Drosophila melanogaster: one gene and its partners. The protein of the gene in region 2 interacts with the protein of the main gene of each other region in a pairwise test. Each region holds a gene or a part of one and is shown on either strand. Other genes may lie near its edges. The genes, in order: dtn, loqs, Hsp60B and loco.

Region 1 (4,646 bases), on a different chromosome or scaffold from region 2:
GTAGTCCTCCACGGCAATATCTCTGTAATCACATAGTAACACAATTTTAATGAATATACGCGAATTGAAAGTCGTATAATGTTCACTCACCGCAAAGGAGTTTTGGAGCCATCGGTAAACTCCAGATCGATGTCAAGCAATCCCTCCTGGTACTGAGCAGTTAGCTTGTGTGTGACAGAAGTCTCCGCCAGGTAGCCGTTCTCAATCGTGTTGTCCGGACTGATGGTAAGCTGCAGACCCGAAATAACGCGCACGATGAGCTTGGAAAGGTTCACCTTGTCGCTGCCCACACGGATTTCCTTGGTGCCAATTACTCGACCCGTTATGGGTGACAGGACCTGGACATCGGTGCGTCCCATGGACTTGCCCTGCAGAATTCGACCCTTCAGAGATGCGATCTTGGGATCGGCCACACGGAGCAGCGGTTGCACCAGATCCGTCACTCTTAAGCCTGTACGCCGTGAGATAAAGTAGCTGGTGCGTCCAGAGTTCTGTTTCAAATGGATAAGAAGAGAAACATGGCTATATAATCACTTTTGACGCTTATGAAGCTCAGGAATTCCCACCTGGTCCACGGCCAGGAACTTGGCATACACCTCCACGGGACTTTGCTGGTAGCGAGCGCGACAAATCGTCTTGTCCGCTCCCAGATTGTTATAGTAGTTCGTTCCATGCTGACCCCAAACGTAGGATCTCTTCTTTCTTCGACGAGACTGCTTGTTGTGTCTGCCATGCAATGAATAAGAATGATAAGTAAGATATTCAAACTACAGGATAATAAACTTACAGATAGTGATTGTCATCGGTTACTTTCCATCCTTTGATTTGGGAGAGACGGAAATCGGATATGTAAACTTCCAGCGGAAACTCGGGCATCCAAACGATGAACTTGGCCACGCCCACATAGGTGCCATACTTGACAATGACCGAGGCATTGGATGAGCCGCGCTGCTCGGAGCCATCCACATAAACAGAGCTGCAGGAGGAGGAGACCTGAAAGAAGTTGATTGGTTATTTAGCTAGCAATTGCACGATTCACAGTCATCAGACGCACCTTGATTACACTTTCATCTTCGGCGTGACAGGAGCTCTGTAGCGTCACATCGGCCACCTTGCCTGCCTGCGAAACGATGAACACCTTCATCGCCTGGGCCACCTGTCTGCCCGTTAGCACCGCCGTGTTCATCACCTCCCAGATTTTGGCCATCGGTAGCACCGCCTGAATGTCATCCTTGTTGATCTCCAGCTTGGCAATTAGTCGCTTCTTGTTGTCATCGGGTATAACCAGTTCCCCGGAATCCTTGTCCTTTGGCGTGTCATAGACATGCGTCACGGACCACACAATCTTGCCACCGTCCACAATATCATTGGTGTCCTCGGCCACCTCGAGCAGCCATGAGAATACTTCAAACACCTCGCTGGTTAGGTTGCCACCACTTTCCAGACTGGATTCGGCCTCTTTGCGGAAAGCAGTAACGCGAGCGGTAGTGTGTTTGGGATTTTCCTTCTCTACAGAAACGCTCCATTGGTCTGTGGAGGCGGTGGCGCCCAGAATCTTTAAGCCCGCCTTAACACGAGCTCTCACAGTGAAGGCGGCCACCCGCTGATCGGGATATTGATGTAAAAAGACGGGCACATGTAGACGGGAGAGTGGATACAGCGGATGTTGTGGCAGGAGAAAGGTGACGGCATCATCGGCGCGCAACATACGATAGGGAGTCCTGGCGGCCAACAAAGGCACCTGGGCGAATGTGGTCAACGGTTGGATCTGCACCTTCGGCTCGCATTGCTCGGGATTACGCAAAGGCGGTTCAAAGACACTGTACGAGACCTGGGCATACCGCTGCGGTACTTTGGGTGGCGCCTGACCACTGCCATCTTGTGTGGGCGCCGGCAGCTGGGGCCACCAGCCCAGGGGCACGACCACTTCGGCTACGCAGACACCGTCCTCGCCCTCCGGCATGCAGCGTCCTTTGAGCGGCTGCTCCGAACCCATCGCCACGTGCAGGAGTACACAGACCTTCTGGCGCTGCAAATGACCACCCGGATCGGCTCCGGCGTGGAATAGTACCCGAAGCACGGGAGCATCCTGCGATACACTGGAGCGAACCAAATGGGCGGATATGTCCAGGTGCATATTTGGCTGCTGGAGCTCCAGTAGAGTGGCATTCTGTGGGAGAGAAAGTGGTATGACAAGGCGTCCTTTTGTTGCTTGCCAGGATTTGGGGATAACTCACGTTCATATAATCGCCCGACTGGCTGTCCATTGTGTCCGGCACAATGTAGCGGGCTGGCACCGTTTGTTTCGTGGAAAACGGTCCATAGCTGGCGCGTATGGACACCGGCTGCGTGGTCTCGACCACAGTGAATCTGTCCAGAGATAACACGGAATCATAGGAGGATCGTTGCCGTAACGGCGGCACCGCCGAGGATGTCTGCACATTGGCGATCTCCGGCGTCACAGGTGGTTGGCGGGCGTGCTTCAGAAAGAAGCCGCTGTCCGGCGCCTCGAAGTGCACCTCCACGGAGTCTGGCGAGGATTCGGCATGGATTTGTTATGGGTTGGGAGTAGATGAAGGAGTCAATTAGTTGAATTTTGGTAATGGTAACATAGGGGTTGGGGATTTTCTTAAACCCGGAGGTCACCCACTCCTCCTTTATCCCCCTCCCACTGGCTTACTCCCTCCTCCCACTCCATCGCTTTTTTTGTACCACCCCCCTGGGTTTGGAAACTTTATTTGATACTTACATGCCAACGACAGCTGCAAAGCAATTATGAGGCAGTATCTCATCATCTTGTTCGTGTGCAGGAATCCAAAATATATCGAAATCCTGAAATCCTGTGCCCACCCACTCGTTAATTTGCTAATTAACTGTGCCCGCACTTTCGTTATTTTCACTGTTCTCTCGCTTGTGTGGCTTATTTGACCGTTATTCCGTTAATCGTGCCAAAAGTCAACCGTTAATTCGCGCTGGCTAGCACTTTTCGTCCTTTTTTCTCGCTCAGCAATCCGCAGCACATCCTTTATTGATTCTTTCCAGTGTGCCCACACACCCACACACCAACACACACTCACACGCTGCTCACACACACAGCCGTGGGCCACCTCACACACAGATACACATGCACATGCAGGTATAGACACATCTTCTCCTGCAAATCGCGCAGTTCAGTTCGAAATTAATTGGACCGCAACCGTGCCAATCGATTCGATTTTTCACTCGACTCGCTTTTCACGCGCTGGCAAGGATCTGCTGGGCTGGAAAATCCCTCGTTCGACGCCCTAATGCATGCCTCTTTTCATTCAGGTCTCTCAGAATTTTACACAAATATCGAACATTCCAAACACTTTGCAGTGTGTCCATACCGTATTGAAAACAATATCCTAAGATAGTGGTACTACCGTATTTGGAAGTGCTGTAATATGGGGCTGCCAGACTGTGCGCATACTCCTGAAACTCCAATCAGAACGCGGGCAATTCAAAAAGTTAATACCAAAAAAAAAAAAATACCATGTTTGACAGTGAAGAATAAAGAAAAATAAAATTAATTGGGATTGCTTAAGAAAATTTTTTGAGAAACTTTAGATTCTACAAGAAAAGAGCTTCTTAGGAACGAATATTTTAAAACAAGATCTGGTAGCACAACTGACAATAGGTTTTTAGGATTCTAATAGCCATGGTCCTAGTCTCAGTAGTATTCACATTTGTAATATAATTTTATATTTTATAATATAATTTATAGTCTTAATATTTATTTATTTTAGGAGCTCCAACAATTAGCACTTTTGCACAGTAATTTTTAGCATATTCTGCGGTATTTTCTGATAAATTGAAACCGCCTCTATGCTGGTCACACTTGGCCTTCTCGTCGAACCGAAATTATAAAAGACAAAAGTGCAGCTGGTCGAAAGTTGCATTAACGAAACTTCGATAGTATTAAACACTCGGCATTCGGCAGCTGTGAGTATGAATCAAATCAGGCGTAATCAAGCAATCATATTCGATAAAATAAACGAACTGAACTCCCAAAGGGCGCTGCCCTATGTGAGTGTGCGTGTGTGTTAGTGTATGCGTATGAGTCAGCGTCGGCAGCGCGCAAATGAAAACAATTGTTTTTGTGCTATAATTCCATTTAAATGTCCATTCGAAAGTGATAAATCAACGAAGTCGCAAACATTTGGCCCAACTTGAGTTCTCGAGTGAATTTGGGTGCTTCAACTGCGGTTTTTTTCTGGCCTTTTAAGGCTTTAATTGAAATGCGTGTGCCAGTGTGTGTGAGAATGTTTTCAATGAGCCAAATACGTGTGCGATGTTGTTTTTGTTAACCGCAGTTCAACAGCATTGATAAACTCGCATACACATGCACGCACTGGCGCAGAGCGAGAGCGAAACTCCCATACGTGTCATTTTCGTTTGCGCGAGTGACTCAGAGAGCTGCGCATGTGTGCGTGCATGAGTCGTACTCACAGTGGGCGCCCGATAAGGTGGACTTGTAACTGTAGCGGAAGCATGGAGCCATCGAACTGCTTTTGCATTATCCTTTCTGGCCTAAAACTGTATTAAAACTATTTATTTATAAATATAATTTGTAGTTCGCCCATTTTAGGCAATGGCCAAACCTTCATTCCTTAAAAAACCTTAAA
Region 2 (5,200 bases):
TGCAGGCGAGGTTTCGGAGTGCGTCAAAACAGGACTTTGGGTGGGAGACTGCTTCATCTATACCAACTCGGTGAACCGCATCAACTACTACGTGGGCGGCGAGATTGTGACAGTATCCCACTTAGACCGCACAATGTATCTGCTGGGCTACGTGCCCAAGGACAATCGTATTTACCTCGGCGATAAGGAGTTGAACGTGATCAGTTTCTGTCTGCAGCTGTCCGTGCTGGAGTACCAGACGGCGGTTATGCGAAGAGACTTTGAGCGCGCAGACGTTGTGCTACCGACCATTCCCAAGGAGCACCGCACTAGGGTGGCACATTTTCTGGAGAAACAGGGCTTTAAGTCGCAGGCCCTGCAAGTCTCTACCGATGCCGACCATAAGTTTGACTTGGCCTTACAGATCGGAGATTTGGAAATCGCCTTAAAGCTGGCCCGTGAGTCGGAGAACTCCCAGAAGTGGTCACAGCTGGCAGATGTGGCGTCTAGCAAGAACAACATGTCTCTGGTTAAAGAGTGCATGCAGAAGGCAAACGACTTAAGCGGTCTATTGCTGCTCTCAACAGCTTCCGGCGATGCCCAGCTGCTCGAGGTGGTGGGTGCGGCTGGCTCGGCCCAGGGACATCACAATCTAGCTTTCCTCTCGGCGTTCCTTCGTTCAGACGTGGAACGCTGCTTGGAGATTCTCATTGAGACAAATCGGTTGCCAGAGGCAGCGTTCTTTGCCCGCACCTACCTGCCCAGCCAGATGTCAAGGATCGTAGAGCTTTGGCGGGAGAAGCTTGGAAAGGTCAACGAAAAGGCGGGACAGTCGCTGGCCGATCCGGCACAGTATACAAATCTCTTCCCTGGCCTGGGCGATGCGCTGCGGGTGGAGCAGCATTTGCAGGAGGAGCGAGCTCGTAAGGCGCCGGCACGCCTCGCTGCGAATCTACCACTGAATAGCGAACGTCATCCTCTGCAAGAACTATTTGCCGCCGAGCAGGGTGCCGCCGGCCAGCATTTGGAGGAGAAGGTGAAGCCAGCTTACGTTCCCGCTCAAGCTGTTGTTTCTAGCAGCCAGGTGGCCGAGCCTACATCCGCTGCGGATGACGACGACGACCTGGACTTGGAAATAGATGGAATTACGTTGGATGATAACATTGATACGACAGATGTGAACCTCGATGACGATTTTCTAAGCGACGATTAGGACGGAAGATCACAGCCAGATCTAGAATACCATTTAAACTATCGTTTACTGCTACGGGAGTCCCACATTTCGTGCATTTCGAGCCACAGAATTCCGCGCATGCATTCACATTTGATTTGATTGAATGTTGTTTAAATATATATCTATTAATAATATGTACAACAGTAATGGAGCAAACACTGCAATAAATACTTATACAACAATTTCAAATATGGCGCTCACTTCAACTATTTCGATTACATTCTGATATCTTATCGATAAAACTTTTAAACAAACTTACGATCATGCCAGGAGAAATTAAAAATTATTTTTGTTCTTTTTTTTTTTTGAGTTAAATTAGTATTCATGGTCTATTTTATTATATATTTGTACAAAAAAATGTTCTGTACCTGTTACATACATTTATTTCAACATATTTACTCTACGAGTAGGGGGTGTAATAAGTAGGCAATCCAAAAAAAGTCTGGCAACCACAAATATCAGTAAAATACATACAATTCGTGTGTGCGTCTGGATTTTGCTGTATTTTTTATTTAAGAATGAATTATTAACTAACCATTAATAAATTATTATTAAATAAAAAACAGTTAAAACCGCGATTCAAACGTGAGTACTCCCCGAATTTCGGCGAGAGTGTCAACTGGACTTTTCGCCCGCTATTCGTCGGTGATGTATCGATTTTTCAAACAACAATTACCCCGAAATTTTAAACAGATACACACCGAATCCTCCCGAAAACCGTGCAAAACAAGAACACCATGGACCAGGAGAATTTCCACGGCTCCAGCTTGCCGCAGCAGCTACAGAACCTCCACATCCAGCCGCAGCAGGCGTCCCCCAATCCTGTCCAGACGGGATTTGCTCCACGGCGGCACTATAATAACCTTGTCGGCCTGGGCAATGGAAATGCCGTCAGTGGTAGTCCGGTGAAGGGTGCTCCGCTGGGGCAGCGCCATGTGAAGCTCAAGAAGGAGAAGATATCCGCCCAGGTTGCGCAGCTGTCTCAGCCAGGTCAGCTGCAGCTGTCAGATGTTGGTGATCCTGCCTTGGCGGGCGGATCGGGCTTACAAGGTGGAGTCGGCCTTATGGGCGTAATATTGCCCAGCGACGAGGCCTTAAAGTTCGTCAGCGAAACGGACGCCAATGGACTGGCCATGAAGACGCCCGTCAGCATTCTGCAAGAGCTGCTAAGCCGACGAGGAATTACTCCCGGCTATGAACTTGTCCAGATCGAGGGCGCCATACATGAGCCGACCTTCCGGTTTCGCGTGTCCTTTAAAGACAAGGATACGCCCTTCACGGCCATGGGGGCAGGACGATCGAAGAAGGAGGCCAAGCATGCGGCGGCCCGTGCGCTCATCGACAAGCTGATCGGCGCGCAGCTGCCGGAATCGCCTAGCAGCTCCGCTGGTCCGTCGGTGACTGGGCTCACGGTCGCCGGAAGCGGAGGAGACGGCAATGCCAATGCCACAGGCGGAGGAGAGTGAGTTTTTATTCTATTGATGTCTAAGATATGATTCTAAGATATCCAATTTATTGTATTATGTCCTTGCAGTGCCAGCGACAAGACCGTTGGTAATCCGATTGGCTGGTTGCAGGAAATGTGCATGCAACGGCGATGGCCACCGCCGTCGTACGAAACGGAAACGGAAGTGGGTCTTCCCCACGAGCGGCTCTTTACGATCGCCTGCTCGATACTCAACTACCGCGAGATGGGCAAGGGCAAAAGCAAGAAGATAGCCAAGCGCTTGGCCGCCCACCGCATGTGGATGCGTCTGCAGGAGACTCCCATCGATTCGGGCAAAATCAGCGACAGCATCTGCGGCGAGTTGGAGGGCGAAGTGAGTATCATTCAAGACATCGATCGTTACGAGCAAGTCTCTAAAGATTTTGAGTTCATCAAGATCTAACCCACAAGCAATTTTCTAATATTTTTAGTGCAATTATTTTGAATGCAGTCCCATGCTTTAGTTTATAAAATTTTAAAAATTGATTTTATCAAATATATGTCATAAATGTTATATATTATTTAATACGTTTGTCCTCTATCCCTTCTCAAATGTAATGTAGAACGTTTAGAGTAATCCTCAGTTGTAAATATCCCTATAATCTTTTAAATTATGTATCTAGCTAGAGTTTTAGTACTATAGCATCCCTTTTATAGTGTGCTATCTGATATTTTTTATTGTCCTTGTTTTTATAACTAATGTTTTTGACATAATTATACATATAATTAACATAATGCTTACACCTTATTTATATTTCTGGTTTTATTTATGGTTTATATTGGCTTATTTCATTTTTCATTTTTCATATTGTTCCTTGGCATGGTGATTGTTTTAAAGAACGAATCTGTAAAGCACCTTTTCCACACAAAAGTGATATGTTTCAACTCACCATTGGCGTGTGTGATTTCAAATGTGTGCGAAATGCAATGGAGAAAAGAAACCAAAAACTTTGCGCTCTTATTTACAGCCCCGCAGTAGTGAAAATTATTATGGTGAATTGAAAGATATCTCTGTGCCGACACTGACCACGCAGCACAGTAACAAAGTATCCCAGTTCCATAAGACCCTAAAAAATGCAACGGGCAAAAAACTGCTTAAGTTACAGGTAAATTTCAATCCAATAACGCTTTTTATTCAAAAACGATCACAAACATATTTCCAACATTCAAAACCTGCTTTCGAAAGTACATATTTGCCTTAACCCCTCACAATCCTTATAATAATAGTGTTCTTGCTTGAAAGTTCAAAGTTTAATTTGACTCTGCTAATTCGACTCCATTTGTATTTTTTTCAGAAGACTTGCTTGAAGAACAACAAGATTGATTACATCAAGCTGCTGGGCGAAATCGCCACGGAGAACCAGTTCGAGGTGACCTATGTGGACATAGAGGAGAAGACCTTCTCTGGCCAGTTCCAGTGCCTGGTTCAACTGTCCACGCTGCCCGTTGGCGTTTGCCACGGCAGCGGACCAACAGCTGCCGATGCCCAGCGGCATGCCGCCCAGAATGCCCTCGAGTACTTGAAGATCATGACCAAGAAGTAGGGGGTGCAGCCAACTGAATAGCAAAATCTGAACGCACACCACGACCACGATCACGAGTATTTGATGAGAGCGATTACCGAGTGGATACGGGATAACTAATGCACCAGTCTAATTGCTTTTCTTTCCACTTTTTGGCTCAATGCAGTGGCGATGTTACATATATATATATATATATTTTGTTTCTTTTCCACCGATTCCTTTGATTAGGCAGTTGTATTTGTTAACTGCATATGTAAATGTTCATATATGTACTACACTTACCGATGAATGTATGTACGCTTGCAAATACAGACAAGCGTGTAATCGATATTGGAATCTTCTAGTCGCTTTCAAATTCTGAAAAACGTAAAACGGCAGATAAAACTAGGTTTAAGGTAGACTACGTGCTAGTTTGCGAAGGAAAAAGGCTTATGAATATAATCGGTATTTGGTAATCGCTACTTTTGCAGTTTTCTTTTCCTTGGGCTGAAAAACTTTGTAAACTCCGAATTAAAGGGCATTGATGAATTGAAATTAATCAATCCAACTTTAGAAATATTCTGTGAAAACATCTTTTATGATATGGAATTATTTAACTACAAATTAGTTAGGAAATAAATTGACAAATATAATACTGAAGTTATAGTAGCCGTGGCTTTATTTAAATAGGTAATTTTGTGCTTAATCTAAAGTAGTATTCTAAGTAATCATAAAGGATTGCATCTATTTCTTCTTTCTGTCCTGCGTACACTTGGGACAGAACCACTTGCCCTTTGGCTTTGTGGTGAGGCCAACACAAGCGAAGTGAAACCACTCGATGGGACACTAAAATGGTAGAGTGAAAGATCTAGAACTGACCACAGAGTACATCAAAATCGAATACTCACGTCGGGATTGTCGCAGCCAATCATCTCTCCATAGGACACCTGGTGGCATAGGCAATATGTGGGCTCATTGGGATCGACGGGCATGTCCATA
Region 3 (4,516 bases), about 13 Mb from region 2:
AGGTCCAAGAGGCTGTGGCTTTTCCCTGGCCCACGCTCGATGCTCGATGGGTCCGTCCACCATTTTCGGTTCGTTTGCGGGCCTCGATGAAAAATTTGCAAATTGGAATTACTTATTTATTGATGCATGTTTGATGTGACGCTCTTGTGGAGGCTCCCAGCCTCAGGCCCCCCTTCTTGCGCACTCACTCTCATGTAACGAATCGCTTTTTTAGCTGCGGGCCACAAATGAAATCTGCAAACACAAACCATGCAAAGTACGGGGGAAAAAACCGAGGGTCGGCTCACATGTGTGAGAAATTGCTGTTTGTTTTATGCAAATGATCATCGCATTGCAGCTGGATTCGCTCTGCCGGTCGCCGTTCCAAATTTTCGGCTGCAATTAAAAACCGAAAGTGTGAAGGAAGTGTAGCTTTTTGCAGACCAGCATAATGAACCGGTTGAAAGATATTTGGCCAGAAAACTGCTGGTGTAGGGAAAAGGCCAATAATTCACTTTCTCAAGTCATTTGGAAGGGTTCCCGACTGTTTTATACAATTCGTTTTCGATTGTCAATTTATATTTTAGATGAACACATAAAATTTAGACACTCAACAGATATTTGAACTATAGAAACGATTTGAGCTGGAGCGGATAACGGAAGCGGGTTCTACATCATCCCACTGTCAATGTCACGCACCTCTACTTGCTCCATGCCGGGAATAGCCTTGACCATTTCATTCATCTCCTCGGCAGTGGGACCGTCATTGCTGGCAGAAGCGCTCATTCCGCCACCAGCGCCCATTCCGCCGAATCCACCTCCCATTCCTCCCATACCTCCCATACCACCCATGCCTCCCATACCACCCATGCCACCCAATCCACTTAAGGCTGCCAGCTCCTCTAAGCCACCCATGTTCATGTCCAGTCCATCATCCATTCCGCCGCCAGCTCCTGACAACTTGGACAAAAGATCATCGTTCCGGGAGTCGGTGATAACCACCTCGGTGGTGCTCAGAAGAGAGGCCACTCCAGCTGCATCCGTGATGGCGGTCCGCAGCACCTTTGTGGGATCAATAATGCCCTTCTCGACCAGCCGACAGTACTCATCGCCCATGGCATCGTAGCCGTAGTCTTCCGAGCCATTCAACACCTTGGCCACCACCATTGGGCCATCAACTCCGGCGTTTTGAGCTATGGTCTGGCAAGGCATCCTCAGGGCATTGCAGACGATATCGACGCCCTTCTGGAGATCTGCACTCTCCGTTTTGAGTTCCTGGAGGTAGGGAATGCAGCGCAAAAAGGCCGTACCGCCACCTGGGACAATTCCCTCTTCGATGGCCGCTCGAGTGGCATTCAAGGCGTCCACCACACGGTCCTTTTTCTCATTCACCTCAACTTCACTGCCTCCACCAATGTGCAGCACTGCCACGCCCTTCGTGAGGGCGGAGAGGCGTTGGCGCAGACGATCCCGCTGCTCTGGCTTGATTTGCTTTTCCGCCAGTTCATCTTGAATTTGCTGGATGCGCATTTCCAAAAGTCCTGTCTTGGGTTTGCCCTGCAGGAGCATGGTGCTGTCCTTGCTAATCACAGCCTCGCCAACCTGACCCAGATCCTCCAGCTTAGCCTCCTCCATTTTGGAATAGTTGATGTCATCGCCGAAAATAGTTGCTCCCGTGGCAGCGGATATATCGCCTATAAGCTCCTTGCGGTGGTGTCCATAGCTGGGCGATTTGACGGCGCACACCTGGAGGCCCAACCTGAGCTTGTTCAGGACCAAAGCATTGAGGGCTTCCCCGCTGATGTCCTCGGCTATGATGATCAGGGGACGACGCTGCCTCAGGGATTGCTCCAGACCTTTAACTATTTGCGAGAGTCCAGTGATCTTCTTCAGGGATATCATTACAAGGGCGTTGGCAAACTCCACCTTGGACCCCTTGGAGCTGTTTACGAAAAAGGGCGACACATAGCCGTTGTCGAAGCGCAGGCCCTGGATAATATTTAGCTCGTCCTTCAGGCGCTTGCCATCCTTTACAGTAATAGTTCCTCTTGGACCCACTTTGTCGGTGGCCTCACCAATGAGCCGCCCAATTTCAGTATCCCCGTTCGCGGAGAGGGTGGCTACTTGTTGGATCTCCTCACGCGTTTCCACTGCCTTGGACATTTCCTTCAGCTTGTCCTTTACGACGTCAACAGCTAACATGACACCTCGACGAATCTCCACGGGATTAGCCCCCATGGTAATCTGATTGAATCCTTCCTTGGCAATCGCTCGAGCCAAAACTGTTGCTGTGGTCGTGCCGTCACCCGCCGACTCATTCGTATTATCGGCCACATCCTGGACCAACTTGGCGCCCAGATTCATGTGCTGGTCCTTTAGGGCAATCGAGCGCGCGACCGTGAAGCCGTCCTTGGTGATCTTCGGCGAGGTCCATGGTCGCTCCACGATCACACTGCGACCCTTGGGCCCCATGGTCACAGCAACGGCATCAGCCAGAATATCAACGCCCCGGATCATCATTGCCCGTACTCCGGAGCCAAAGCGCACGTCCTTCGAGTACATCCGCGCGAAACAGCGACTAGAGGTAATCGCCTTGGGCACACACGACCGAAACATTTTGCACTTAAGTTTGAAACTATAATAAAAAAAAAACTTTCAAAACTTTTGGTTCTAATATTTTTTCGTTTGATCTCAGACACGAAGTGAGTGCAACTAATATGTAGGTTGTTGACTCGATACTGACGGACTAGACGGACTCGTTCAAGGCCTACTCCCATATTCAAATCCAAATTTTGTTTCCATTATCTTTAAGCTTCTCGTTTTATGTAACATGTGCAAGCCATTCTTCTTTATTTATATTGCTTTTCCTTGAGCACTTTTCTCTTTTTTCTTTTTTCTCTTTGCGGACAAGTTTCCAGGCAATCGCCAGATTTCACAACATTCATTTGTCTGGCGCCTGCCCGTCTGCGATCTGCGGCTCTGAAATCTTCGACAACAGAAGCCGTGCCTTCTGTTTGCCGGAATAAATTAGCGTGCAGCTAATAAGCCCCGACATTCTGGGTGGAGTCTGCCCATTTGCAGTTCTATTCGCCTCCATCGGCTGAGGCTGACCCACAAACAAGACCAGCGTGTGCAGATTTCCCAGAACTGCGGTGCGACTGTTCTGCACCGGAGGATGGATGCATTTTCCTCGGCTGACCGTTCCCATTTCGAAGGCAGCTGTCAAAAATTGTGTGCTGCCTACTGCAAACTAAAGAAATTCACACATTTTGCTGCAAGCCAAACGGCAAATGGAAATGGAAATGGGGAGTTTGAGGCGGAGATGGAAATGGAGATGGGATGAAAATGTTGGGTGCACAGCGCGCAAGAAGGCATTACTTTCGCACGATGAATTGCACTTAGGTATGAATGTTTAGAAATAGGTTTGCATATAAATTCAATGCGATTTATATGAGCTATCTCTCGTATTCTATACGTATAAAATAATGTCACATTTAGTTCAGTAGGTATAACTTTTTTCTGTGTGCCGCAGACGGGAATTGGAACTGGGGTCGGAATCGGGATCCGTTTCCTGGCCGCTTGACGCGTTGATTGCCATGTGCAAGCGGTAGCACAGTAGCCGGGTTTTGTGTCAAAAGCACGTCACCGATTTGAAGGGGAAGGGCGGAGGAGCTGATTGATGAGGCATTTGCATGTTCGACGACTCTTCTTCCTCTCGCAACCTTTCTCCCCATCTGCGCCAACTCTGCGACATGTGAAAGTGTCCATGGTGGGAAGACCACCTGGTGGGCTGTGCGATAATCGTAACTACAAGCGATCTGCAGGGTCTCTTGTCGGCTACAAATTACTTTCGCTGGATAGCGAATAAGCCTCAATCTATGATTAATTGCAGGCCATCTTCGGGGATTCTCCAATTCATTTCAGTATTTTTGGTGGGCCAAAATTAACCCACTGACCGTTGGCTGATGATTTCCTATTGGTTTTGGCAGATTTTTTGCCGGCTCTGTCATTACCCGCGGATGGATCCGTGGATCGAGCAGATGAAGTCGTTCGGGTAATTGTGGAGCAGACAGCAAAGAAAGTTTTAATGAGAAATGGATAGACTGCAGACGATAGACTGGCAGTTCAATCTGAGCATTTGCGTAAGTACCAGGCAGACGAAATTCCTGGATCTGGGATCTGGGGCAGCCAAGTGCAGATTGAGCTGATGGGAGCGATCTATCGATGAACTGCACTAAAATAAATAATTTGGTGGTCGTCATAGCAAATTATCAGGTTCAACAATTTTAAATGGCCAATAATTTTGATCTTGAATTACAGTAATTAACGGGCATATAAAATGTGTGTGTCATGTTTCAATTCTGGCCATACGCTAGCTGTTAGTGCATATTTCTGAGTGTAATGAGGCAGCTAAAGCTTAGCCTCAATTTAGCCTTTGCCCCCCTAGTTTTTTTGACCCAACTGTGGCCAACTCTGCGTCGCGGAATGAGTGCCTCTCATATTGTCACGTACCGGGCGGTGTCAAGAGTGCATGAAA
Region 4 (4,568 bases), on a different chromosome or scaffold from region 2:
ATCGGAGCTGCAGTGTAACGGCCTGGACGTAAATAGTAACTAAAATCCGGCGATGTCCGTACCCGAATCGTAGATAACGGAACCGTGGCCACCTATTGCCAAAGCCCAACTGTGACTACCAAAACTCCGGGTAAGCGGACAAAGGAATGCCGATATATGGCCCACCAGACCACTAGAGAGAGAGAAAGAGCCCCTTATCTGTGGGCCCAGAGAGCAGGAGGAGCAGTGTGGGGCGATAAGCTCCGAGAACGCAGGTAACTTGGAGCGGCGTCCAGGTAAACAGATTTCTGCCCGCGCACAGGAGCGGTTCACATAAGCCGAGGGTTGTATGGGTTAGATTTGATATAAAATGCACTTATGATTATATTATAGGTATTCCCAATCATTTCAAAAACTTATGATACATGTAGGATAAACAAAAGGATATGCTCCACTTACCCCCAAATCAGGTTCACTGTTCGTAGCTTCTAAAAGGCAGTGGGAGGACGAGGAAGCGGACATGCTGGTCCGATCCTTGTGCGATTTGTGCAGATTCTGCAGGCTGGCCCACGTGTCCATGGTCTGATCCATACATGCACCACTGACCGACGACTGCACACTGTCGATGGCTTCGAAGCCCAGCGAATGACGCGAGCCAGGTTGACCAAATACCTGGGCACTCAGCTTGTGTGGCGTTGTTGGCGTCTCCAGAGCCAACGATCTGCGCATCTTGCGGGGCACACACGCTGGATGGGCAAACGTGTGGCCCTCATCGAGCGATGGAGCAGCCGAGTGCAGCGAAATGTCATCCATAGAGGCCACGGCAGCCAAAGTGCGCGGTGAATCGTCGACAAAAAGATTAAGGACATCATCACAGGAGCGGGTGGATGTGAGATTCGTGGCGGGACTTTGGATCAGATTGAAGCTGGCCAGGAGATTGGGTCGACGAAGCGAAGAGCTCGCTGGCGGCGATCTTAGCAGGGCGGAATGATCGGGCATGGCCCGCACAGTCAGTCGATTATCCGGTATTCCCACTATGCCCAGTGGACGAGCAGGAGCTGGATAAGTTGGTGGTCCTGCATGTGCCGCCGCCGCTGCTCCCGCTCCTGCAGCTAGGAAGTCCACAACCAGAATGCGATCCGAAATATTCGTACAATCGTTGTTGAAGCCAATGCCCGAATCCGAATTGGACGTGGTGGTGGAGATCTCGCTGTGGTTCGATGGCTGCGGCGAGTGGGCAGCTGCTACTGCTCCTCCAGCTGCGGCGGCTCCTGCACCCGCCTCATAGTCTGCCTGATGACTCCGACTTGCCGGTGGGAGAATCCGCATGGTATACATGCTGCGCACGAGATTCACCACATATTCCGAGTTGTTAGGGAACTCGAGACACAAATTCGAGATCGGATCCCGGGTGCACTGCAGGCGGAACTCGTGGGCCCGCTGCAAATGCTGTGCATGTTCGATCAGCTTGGTGTCGATGACGAAGACATGGCAGCTGTGCGAGATACTGATGTGACCAGCAGCTGCTGCGCTGCCAGCGCTCGGCTCGTACTCCTCCTCGATCTGTGTGTTGTGCACGGCGCTAGTGACCAGACCAAAGAATCGATTCTCGCTCTCCGACGAAGAGCTCACGAAGTTCAGCCTGGCCGAGGAGTAGGTGGCCAGCACTCCGCCGCTGGAACTCTGCAGGCTCAAGCTGTCCGGCGTGATGCACATCAGCACAATGGTGGGCTGTCGCTTCTCCTGTCTCAGTTTTCGAATGCAAGATCGAACTGTCTGCAGCTTGGAACTATGCGAGATCTGCTTGGGCATCTCGATGGTTCCCAGATAGCCAACAATAACACGGCACTCCAGTGCAGCACTGCCCACAGCTCGCACCATGGCACTTACATTGGCCACATCCGCTGCTTTGGATAGATTGGCTGTCAGAGGCGGATCCTCCAGAACGGGTTTTAATGTAGGGTGATCGGGTGATGACTTTGATTTGTGCGGTTCCACTGCCTCTGGTGGGTTTAGCTTCTTTTGTGGCGAGTTGCGCAATCTGTGCAGTTTGGCTTTGTGGTGTAGAAACCTGGGCTTGTGCCTCAAACTGGCTGCCAACAATTGACCCCTCAGCGTGGCATGGGCGTTCTCCTCATCCGAGCTGTCGGAATAATAATTCTCGGCGATCTGCATGCGAATACTGCCAAAGGAGTTGCCAATGAGCTGCACCACTGTTTCGTGTGGCAACTTGGAGACATTTAGACCGTTGACCGATATGAGGAAGTCACCGGAACGCAGGCCAGCTTGCTCGGCAGGTGAGCTGCTGATGATGCAAGACAGCCGACATGGTTGCTGCCCGGAAATGGTGAAACCGAAGCCATTGTAACCACGTCGCACTTCCACGGTGCGGATGCCATTGTAGTTGTAGTTGGCTCGCTTCTTGCGACGTCGCTGATGCTGCTGGCTGTTGGATCCCGAAGGCGTGGTTGAGGTGCTTATGGGGGCGGGCCCACTATTCGCAGCAGGTGATGCATCCTCCGCTGCAGCTGCTCCCGTTCCCACGGCTGTGGAGCCACTTGCTCCGGTTATGGGCAAAGGCGGATGATGGTGGTGCATGGCGCTTACTGTGTGGAGAAAACGAATGATGAGGAGTACTGGCCAATCTTAACCCACATCTGGACATTTGTACGCACCTTTCTCATGGATGGAAGCTGCAACCTGGATTTCTGGAAATGGAATGCGGTTTCTGTTGCGCCCCTTTTTGGATGATGCCCCCTCTCGCTCGCACCCGTGCGTCGCCTATGCCAACTATGTAATCAATGGCACACACACATGCGCACCAATGGCCAGGCGTATTTTGTTACACTTTTCTAGGCCTCTAATTAATTGATAACTAACTCTTCTTTGGGTGCTACCTCATATTCACGCGGTTAATAACATCGTTGTAACTTTATCAGGCATATTTGTAGCAATTAATTGTGTGTAAATCGGTAATTAAAATTATGTCTACAATGCGCAAGCGTAACTATGATTAGAGATGGAACACACTAAAATGTTTACTCGATACTATCGATATTACATACCTTTTGTGAAACATCGATCACTTTGACACACCATATTTTTAGTAATTACTGTTAAAGTTTTGCAGAATGTCAACAATTTTTAACAAGCAGTTCTAGAGAAAATTTGATTTGTTCAAATATTGAAGGCATTGACCATTGATAGAAAAACGATATTTACAAATTTGAATTAGATAAAAACAGGGCTGCCAGACTCATTGAAATTTATGAAGCAATCGTTGCCACACTGGGCTGACCTTCGTTGCATAGCAACGAACTTTTGTCACATCCCACTGCCGTCAGTTACTTTTCGATTTAAATAAAAGCTCCGAACGCTCGTCCTTTAAAGTCCTTCCGGTGAGCTTACATCTGCGTAGCGTGTTATTTGTGTTTGGCCCACGCCGTTTCAGTTACATTGGGACTTTCAAACGCATTGGTTGAACGCGCGCACCCAGAACCGCTGTTGAATTAGTTTTTGAACCCGAAAACAGCAGTTAAATTGCTCGAGTGAAATGTAAAATGTTATTGGTAAACGGATCGAAGTGTTCGAAGTTCTAACGCTGAAATGTTTAAGGATTATCCGTAGCAAGACCTGCAGAAGTGACCCCAGTCAGCCAGTGTTGAACCAATTGAAATGTTGGCAAGGACATTACGGACAAAGAATAGAAAGCCAATAGAAAGCAATGGGGGTGGGATGTTGCGGAAACGGAAGTGCCAAATTGAAATGCCATTTAAGCCAGGCGAGCGATTTGCCCGTCTTCGTTTACGGCTCATCCGGATTCGTCTGCGTCTGGTCAGGGCACTCAGATTTCTTGCGGGGAATGGATTCGAGAGCGCGGCAAGTGCGATCCCCAGACGACACTTGGCGTCGCTCTTGACATTGATTATATTCATGAGACCAAGTCATAAATTCCAGCCCGACTGTTTACGAGGATTCTAACACCAATCCGCTGTCCCCGATTCCCGGTCTCTGCCCAAAGATGTGGCCAAGTTGCGACTGGAGTGCCAATAAAATCATTAACTGTTGCAGCGCATTAAATTCATGGCCCAGACGATGCTGCCGCGCTATTCAGGCAGCAAACATTGTCATAAAACCTCGGCCCATTCACGCCATATTTCATTTCATCTCCTCATCTCCATCTACCTCACATCCATCTACCTCACATCCTAATTGCCGAAGGTCCTGAGTCCCGTGGGCGTGTGAAAAACTATTAAAAGGCCGTTGGGCCGTGCATCGTGGGCCCATAATTAATGGCGACAATGACTTGATCGGCCGATAATTAATTTATCGTCATTTATATTGCCAAACTGACTCGACGCGCACATACTATATATGTGCTATATACATGGTTACCAAAACGGTTGGCGATCCCATGGGAGCTCGTAAATTGTCCAGAAGTCTAGTTCCTACTTCACTTTAATTTCTTGGCTAGCGAAAGTTTTCTTTTCAACTAAGCCCAAGTAAGTTTCAGTTGGTTCTATTGTATTATTTTGGCACATGCTTCATTCCTGCTCGCCTCTCACATAGTTTTGGCCACAAATTAGTTT

Evidence for each region.
Region 1: the proteins of loqs (region 2) and dtn interact in a two-hybrid assay, tested with the Drosophila melanogaster proteins (one large-scale study listed by BioGRID).
Region 3: the proteins of loqs (region 2) and Hsp60B interact in a two-hybrid assay, tested with the Drosophila melanogaster proteins (one large-scale study listed by BioGRID).
Region 4: the proteins of loqs (region 2) and loco interact in a two-hybrid assay, tested with the Drosophila melanogaster proteins (one large-scale study listed by BioGRID).

What each region holds. Positions count from the first base shown.
Region 1 is NC_004354.4:6,224,324-6,228,969, reverse strand, and holds the start of dtn (detonator), read right to left. Parts: upstream 3,035-4,646; 5' UTR 2,796-3,034; coding exon 2,750-2,795; intron 2,531-2,749; coding exon 2,238-2,530; intron 2,171-2,237; coding exon 1,055-2,170; intron 994-1,054; coding exon 788-993; intron 727-787; coding exon 567-726; intron 492-566; coding exon 91-491; intron 23-90; coding exon 1-22.
Region 2 is NT_033779.5:13,380,990-13,386,189, forward strand, and holds loqs (loquacious), read left to right. Parts: upstream 1-1,662; 5' UTR 1,663-1,798; intron 1,799-1,906; 5' UTR 1,907-1,950; coding exon 1,951-2,675; intron 2,676-2,747; coding exon 2,748-3,033; coding exon of another isoform or gene 3,034-3,102; exon of another isoform or gene 3,103-3,176; intron 3,177-3,537; coding exon of another isoform or gene 3,538-3,667; coding exon 3,668-3,805; intron 3,806-3,832; exon of another isoform or gene 3,833-3,994; coding exon 3,995-4,243; 3' UTR 4,244-4,682; downstream 4,683-5,200. Other genes in the region: beta'COP (coat protein (coatomer) beta'), read left to right, coding at 6-1,192; Ing5 (inhibitor of growth family member 5), read right to left, coding at 4,946-5,047, 5,110-5,200.
Region 3 is NT_033779.5:726,587-731,102, reverse strand, and holds Hsp60B (heat shock protein 60B), read right to left. Parts: upstream 2,742-4,516; 5' UTR 2,596-2,741; coding exon 649-2,595; 3' UTR 539-648; downstream 1-538. UniProt on the Drosophila melanogaster protein: Prevents misfolding and promotes the refolding and proper assembly of unfolded polypeptides generated under stress conditions.
Region 4 is NT_033777.3:22,636,363-22,640,930, forward strand, and holds the start of loco (locomotion defects), read right to left. Parts: upstream 3,026-4,568; 5' UTR 2,655-3,025; intron 2,586-2,654; 5' UTR 2,578-2,585; coding exon 439-2,577; intron 95-438; exon of another isoform or gene 1-94. UniProt on the Drosophila melanogaster protein: Acts as a regulator of G protein signaling (RGS).